Linked DNA regions of Anolis sagrei. The protein of the gene in region 1 purifies or fractionates together with the protein of each later gene. This does not show direct contact. Links are inferred from orthologs where the notes say so. Each region holds a gene or a part of one and is shown in the gene's direction. Other genes may lie near its edges.

Evidence for each region. The genes of interacting proteins can lie anywhere in the genome.
Region 2: the proteins of DUSP1 (region 1) and SKP2 purify together in Homo sapiens (affinity purification with western blotting; 3 studies listed by BioGRID and IntAct, with this or other methods). This does not show direct contact. The link is inferred for Anolis sagrei from reciprocal best matches to the Homo sapiens genes DUSP1 and SKP2.

The regions. Positions count from the first base shown.
Region 1 is NC_090022.1:100,932,510-100,936,256, forward strand, and holds the start of DUSP1 (dual specificity protein phosphatase 1), read left to right. Parts: upstream 1-1,105; 5' UTR 1,106-1,373; coding exon 1,374-1,737; intron 1,738-2,581; coding exon 2,582-2,730; intron 2,731-2,956; coding exon 2,957-3,176; intron 3,177-3,655; coding exon 3,656-3,747. UniProt on the Homo sapiens protein: Dual specificity phosphatase that dephosphorylates MAP kinase MAPK1/ERK2 on both 'Thr-183' and 'Tyr-185', regulating its activity during the meiotic cell cycle.
Region 2 is NC_090022.1:279,561,386-279,565,132, reverse strand, and holds the start of SKP2 (S-phase kinase-associated protein 2), read left to right. Parts: upstream 1-1,369; 5' UTR 1,370-1,547; coding exon 1,548-1,555; intron 1,556-2,567; coding exon 2,568-2,818; intron 2,819-3,747. UniProt on the Homo sapiens protein: Substrate recognition component of a SCF (SKP1-CUL1-F-box protein) E3 ubiquitin-protein ligase complex which mediates the ubiquitination and subsequent proteasomal degradation of target proteins involved in cell cycle progression, signal transduction and transcription.

The DNA.
Region 1 (3,747 bases):
ACTGTGGTTTACTTATATAGAGCCCTCAGTAGCACAGTGGGTTAAACCCTCGTGCCGGCAGGACTGAAGACTGACAGGTCGTAGGTTCGAATATGGGGAGAGTGTGGATGAGCTCCCTGTCAGCTCCAGCTCCCCATGCAGGGACATGAGAGAAGCATGGTAAAACATCAAAACATCCGGGCGTCCCCTGGGCAATGTCCTTGCGACGGCCAATTCTCTCACAACAGAAGTGACTTGCAGTTTCTCAAGTCACTTCTGATACGAAAAAAAAATGTATATAGAGACCCACTCGCATGTATTATTGAAGGCTTTCATGGCAACACCAGAGGCGCGCCAAGTGGCCAGCTACTGGTCAAAGGACATTTAATAGAATACCAAGTCTGCAAACTTTGTGTTTTGTTTGTTTGTTTGTTTGTTTAATGCAATGAAACTGTTTGGTTAGCTCCTGACAGGATAAATAAATAAATAAATATGGCCGGAATCACGGGGTTGCTGTGAGTTTTCCGGGCTGCATGGCCATGTTCCAGTAACATTCTCTCCTGACGTTTCGCCTGCATCTAGGGCAGGCATCCTCAGAGGTTGTGAGGTTATCTCGCCTGTTTGATAGAAATGAGGTAAAGAGGAGGCAGCCTCGAGGCCTGGAGCGGATAGCCTTTCCTTGGAGAGGTCAGTCCACAAAGGGACGTGTTTGTGAAAGGAGGTTGTGTGGGTGAGGGAGCGATCGCTGCGGGGCTTCGCGTGCCCTTTCCTGGCCCTCCGAAAAGGCTGGGCTGGGCTACGGCCAGTGGCGCCCCTGCTGGGCGAAGAGCTCCCGAAGGAGGCCGAGGAGGGGCGGGCCCTTCCTTCCTTCCTTCCCTTCTTCCTTCCTCGGGGCTTTTGCGGCTCCGGGGTGACTTCGCTTTTCGAGCGATGACGCGAGCGCGCTCCCGGGGCGGGGAGTGTCCGCCTGGCTACCGGCCAAGTGACGTCTTCGCGGAGAGGTTGTCACGTGACCTCCTCCGGCCCCATTCACAAATAACAAAAAAAGAAGGCACAGAGGGCGGGAGGAGGGGGCGGGGACAAAGCCGAGGCTGCGCGCTCAGAAAGTATAAAAGCTGCCGTCCTCGCGCTCCCAAGCAGCAAGGAAAGCTCAGCCGCTGAAGCAAAGGCTGCGAGGAAAAGACTGAACTCAGCTCGGAACTTGTCATCTACGCACCAGGACTAGCCGCTCATTGAGAAAGCAAGAAGAAGGAGACCAAGAGAGAGAGAGAGAGGCGCGCCTGGGATTCCAAAGGAGTCCCTGAAAGAGAGAGAGAGAGAGAGAGAGAGAGAGAGGGAAGACGTCCGTCCCTCCCTTGGAGCTCCTTCTCGGCCGTGTTCCGGAGGCGCTGGCGATGGTCAACATGCAGGTGTGCGCCGTGGAGTGCGAGACGCTGCGCGAGCTGCTGGAGTCGGGGGCGGCGCTGGTGCTGGACTGCCGCTCCTTCCTGGCCTTCAACGCCTCGCACGTGGTGGGCTCGTGCAACGTGCGGCTCAGCTCCATCGTGCGCCGCCGGGCCAAGGGCGCCGTGGGCCTCGAGCACCTCCTGCCCAACGAGGAGGCCCGCGCCCGGCTCCGGCAGGGACGCTACCGCGCCGTCGTCCTCCTCGACGAGCGCAGCGCCGACCTGGAAGCGCCCAAGCGGGACAGCACCCTCCTCCTCGCCCTCCACGCCCTCGCCAGGGAGGCCCGCCAGGCCCGCCTCGCCTTCCTCAAAGGTGAGGCGACACGCCACGCAACGGGGAATTGAGGTGGGGGGGGGGGTCGGCACTTAGGCAAGAAGGGGGAAGGAGTCTATCCCATGGGAAAATTTAGCCCAGGAGGAAACAAGTTAGGCAAAAATAGGAAAGAAAACAGGCTTTCCTTTCGGGGAATTTGTGCCACCCAAAGGGACCCGCTAGTTAAAGATTTAGCCCACCAAGTTAGGCAAGCATGTTAACCATCTTTAACATGCTTGGGGGATAGAAGTGCCACCCAAAGGGACTCGCTGGCTAGAGATCTAGCCCAGAAGGAACAAAAGTTAAGCACAAACATGAAAGAAAACAGTCTATACGTATTTGTGCAATCCAAAGGGATCCGCTGGCTAAAATTTAACTCACCAGGAAGTGAGGCAAGAATATTAACCATCTTTTCTTGGGGGAAATGAGTGCCACCCAAAGGGATCAGCTGACTAGAGATTTAGCCCACCAGGAACCAAGTTAGGCACAAATATCGTTGGGGGGAAATTGTGCCACCCAAAGGGATCAGCTGGCTAGAAATTTGGCTCCAGAGGAACAAAAGTTAGGAATGAAGATGAACCATCTTTTCTTGGGGGAAATGAGTGCCACCCAAAGAGACCAGCTGACTAGAGATTTAGCCCACAAGGAACAAAAGTTGGGCAAGAATATGAAAGAAAATAATCTTTGCTTGAGGGAAGTAAGTGCCACCCAGAAAGGGACCAGTTGGGAGAGTGAGAACACGCTCTTTGTAACTTGTCTGTGATAATAAAGAATTTCCCTCATTCTCAAAGCAGCCCCTGAAAATAATAACCGTCCTTTTCTCCCTCTCTCTCCCCTTCTGTAGGCGGATATGATGCCTTTTCCTCCCTCTGCCCCGAACTGTGCACAAAGCCCTCGGCTCCCAAGGGTCTGACGCTGCCACTCAGCTCCAGCAACGCACCCGGCAGCGCCGATTCCAACTGCAACTCCTGCGGGACCCCACTGTATGACCAGGTCAGTTGGAAAACAATCTAGGGATGTTTCCTTTTCTCTCCCTCTCCCCCTGCCCTGAAACTGGGACACGGGTGGAAAAAACCGCTCTGCTTGGGAAGCAGTGACATTGAAAATGCAACGAATTCTCGATTTCAAAAGGGAGCAGTTGTGTGGAGACTGTGTAGAGGTGACGCTATCTTTCACCGGAGAGGATTAACGGATTGTGTTCTTCTCTCTTCTATTTCAGGGTGGCCCTGTGGAAATCCTGCCTTTCCTGTATTTGGGCAGTGCCTATCATGCGTCCAGGAAAGACATGCTGGATGCTTTGGGGATCACAGCCTTGATCAATGTTTCCGCCAACTGCCCGAACCATTTTGAAGGGCACTATCAGTACAAAAGCATCCCCGTGGAGGACAGCCACAAAGCCGACATCAGCTGCTGGTTTAATGAAGCCATCGATTTCATAGGTAAAGGACGTTTCTCTCTCCCTGCAGCATATGCAGATTGGAGGTTAAGAAATCGGTGTAATAGAGAGCTCCAGACACCTTTATAGCTGAGTTGAAGGGTATCTCTTTAGAGGTTTCAGAACAGCAGCATGTAAAATAAGCCATGTTGGAGCTTATGCCTCCCTCAGATAACAGCATTTATAAAGAGGGACATTGAATCTCAGTATGTTTGAGTATAATATGCACTGGCTATTATGCTGACAAAATGTTAATTTTTCAGTGCATATTGATAACTAGTAAGAGCAGGGGCCATCATCTTCAATGAGAGATGAAGCATCTGCATCCTATTTTGCATCAGTTTCTGCTCCCAGCCAAGTGGCTTGCTACCTTATACAATTAGGAAATAACCCCACTTTAGCACACGAAGTGAAATGTAGTTTTTACAAAAGCTTGATAAGAAAGTGCTTGCTAACAGTGATTTTTTAACTCATTGGTTTCAGACTCTGTTAAAAATGATGGTGGGCGAGTGTTCGTTCACTGCCAAGCCGGCATTTCCCGCTCTGCAACCATCTGTCTTGCTTACCTTATGAGG
Region 2 (3,747 bases), about 180 Mb from region 1:
TTATCTATCTATTTCTATATTTATCTATCTCCATATCTCTCTATTTATATCCATATCTATCTCTATATATCTATTTATATTTATCCATATCCATATTAATTTATTTATTTCAGTTACTTTTACCCCGCCCTTCTCACCCCCGAGGGGGGACTCAGGGCGGCTTACAAAGGAAGGCACAATTCGATGCCTATATCAAATATACATACATACATAACAGCACTTAAACAGTTAACAATTAAAATCATCAGTACATAACAATACACTAAAGGTAAAGGTAAAGGTAGTCCCCTGACATTAAGTCCAGTCATGTCTGACTCTGGGGTGTGGTGCTCATCTCCATTTCTAAGCCGAAGAGCCAGCATTGTCCGTAGACACCTCCAAGGTCATGTGGCCGGCATGACTGCATGGAGCGCCGTTACCTTCCCGCCGGAGCGGTACCTATTGATCTACTCACATTTTGCATGTTTTCGAACTGCTAGGTTGGCAGAAGCTAGGGCTGACAGCGGTAGCTCACGCCGCTCCCCGGAATCGAACCTGCGACCTTTCAATCAACAAGTTCAGCAGCTCAGTGCTTTAACGCCACCGGGGGCTCTAACAATACACTAACACAATAGTAAACTAATCCTATGCTCAGCGCTCAGAGTTCCGTAAATCCATTCCGTTTCGTCAATTCCTGCTCATCATCAAGGTCTTTCTTTAGCTGCCAGAATGTCCAAATGCCCGGTCCCACATCCAGGTCTTTAATTTTTTTCGAAGGGAATTCGCCGATCCAATCTCCCCGGGAAGTGAGTTCCACAGGTGAGGGGCCACCACCGAGAAGGCCCTGCTCCTCACACCCGCCAACCTCACTTGTGATAGAGGTGGGGTCGAGAGCAGGGCCTCCCCAAAGGATCTTAGACTCCGAAGTGGGACGTAGAGGGAGATCCGTTCGGACAAATACACTGGGCTGGAACCGTACAGGGTTTTGTAGGTCAAAGCCAGCACTTTGAATTGTGCTCGGAATTGGATCGGCAGCCAGTGGAGCTGACACAACAGGGGGGGGGGGGGGATATATTAATCTCTCTATACATCTGTTTATATCTATCTAGCTATCTATCTCCATATTCATTTCTCTCTATATCAATATCTATCTATATACATATCTATCTATATCCATATCTATCTGACTATATATCAATTTATATCTCTCTCTTTATCTATATCTATATCCATATTTTTCTATCTTATATCCATATCTATCTCTCTATATATCCATTTGTTGGATATAAGTTGCATTTTTGGGAAACTGAATCCCAAATTAGTTTAAAAATGAACATTTAAAAAAGTAACTTCTCCGCTGCAAAGCACTACCATTCCCAGGAGCCATTGCGAGATCCGGGAGAACGTTGGCCCGGGAAGGCGAAGCGCGCGAGCCTTTTTCTGCTGTGCGGGTTTTCCGGGGCTGCTGCTGCTGCTGAGAAGATTTGCTGGGTTTGGCGTTGCAAGAGAGGGAAAAAAGGGATCGGGGGGTCCTGGTTCTCCATGCAAAAGCCCCATTTGCAAGCACCATGCACAGGTAAAAGCGGATGGGTGCAAAGTGGTTACATTAGGGTGGAGAGCAGGGGGAATCGCAGTGGATCCCGCCCAAAACAAGGGATGGGATCACGCGCCTCTTTCCTCCCCCTTGGCTTCAGGATTTTAGCCATCATCCGGTGCAGTAGTATTTGATGGACATGTTCTTGCATTAAGTTATTTATGAATTGCAAACTTATTTTTTGTTTGGACTAGCGTGTTTGTAATTCCCAAATGTCTTAAGGTGCATATATATTGTAGATCAGGTAGGGGCAAATTTGGGTATTCCAGGTGTTTTGGACTTCAACTCCCACAATTCCTAACAGCCGGCAGCTGTTAGGAATTGTGGGAGTTGAAGTCCAAAACACCTGGAGTATCCAAATTTGCCCCTACCTGATCTATACTGTAAAAGAAATGCACTTATTATTATTATTTATTTATTTACAGCATTCATATTCCGCTCTTCTCACCCTACAAGGGACTCAGGAAGGATTACAATGCACATAAACATTCAGTGCCATAGACACACAACATATATAGACAGAGACACAGAGGCTGTTTAACACTCCAGCTTCATGAGGGTATGCATTTTGAATTCCAGCCACCGGGGGGAACTGTCACTTCACCATCCACTTGTGAGACCGATGGAGTACTTCCTCATTCTTTTGCACGCTGCTGGAGAGTTTTATGGCGTTGTAATTTATTTACCATATTTGTATACTACCCTTCTCAGCCTGAGGGGAAATATGCATCTTGGGACCCTTCTAGGCAGGCCCTATATCCCATGATCTCATCCAAGTTGTTCTGCTTTAAACTGGATTATATGAGTCCACACTGCCAGATAATCTGGGATAAACAGAAAACTTTGGATCAGATTCTGGGATATAGGGCCTGTCTGGAAGGGCCATTAGAATTGAGGAAATAGAGTATATCTGTAGCTCTCTCCTTCTGTTGTTCTTCACTTTCTTACGATATAAATGCCAGCTATATACCACCGTGTTTCCCTTCCTTTGTAGGAGACTTCTCCAGGAAATTCCAGATTCGGGCAGCAATGTCAACACGGACTTCATATGGGGATGGCATTCCAACAAGACGTCAGAGCTGCTGTCCGTCATGGGAGTCTCTGTCCTTAAGGATAAACTGGGCAACGAGAACACCCCCCAAGAGCTGCTGATGTGTGTGAGTCCACCCCAAAAACGGCAGAAAGTGAAGGAGGCAGAATTTGTGATTGTCCGCCGACCCAGGCGGCTCCTGGAGGTGGCGGCAGGTGAGATCGAGAATCGCAAAAAGACATTCAGGATTCCTAATTACTAATGGTAACAAATAAAGTGATTGAGCTTATTTGCTTTAAACGGTAATAGTAATTGTTTAATAGTCGTCATATAATAGCCATCACAATTTAATTATCTAGATCAGTGGTTCTCAACCTGTGGGTCCCCAAGTGTTTTGGCCAATAACTCCCAGAAATCCCAGCCAGTTTACCAGCTGTTAGGATTTTGGGAGTTGAAGCCCAAAACATCTTGGGACCCACAGGTTGAGAACCACTGATCTAGATCCTTTGCTGCAGCATTGCAAGGGATCTCTCCAGCTTCCTCTTCTTGACACGTCCCATAACTGGAAGAGTCCTGCAGATACTATTTCCCAATACAGGCAGCAAGATAGGTTCTGTATGTTCTTATGTAAGTCCAAACAGATACATTTTTAAGTATAACTCCAGTCTATCTATCTATCTATCTATCTTTGGATAGTATAGGGAAAGGTTAACATCCCTGTGGTGTTTGTCTTGCTGTCTGAGCCCCTGTTCAGAAGATTTCACCTAACTTTCTATCTCTGTAATAATCGGATTTTGATAAATTGGGCTTGTTGTGGAAGCAAGGATTGTTCATAAAGCCTCAGTGGAGATACCTTTTCCCCATGATTACTCTTCCAGGAGTAAATTTCTTCATCTAGGGGAAGATTTCTCTCCCTTCCTTTTGTCTCACCCCCGTTCTTCACTATGAGTTGTTTATAAGTCAGATGTTTATAACTCAGGGATTGCCTGAACCCTTGGAAGCCTTTTGGTTGGGACACTGCCGGACTGGAAAGATGGGTGCATCATCAGGCACAACTCCAATGACAGAGGTCCTATCATGTTAATTATTTCAATTTATGAAAGATATTAAGCTGGTATTGCACCACCTGACATCCGCCGGGAAG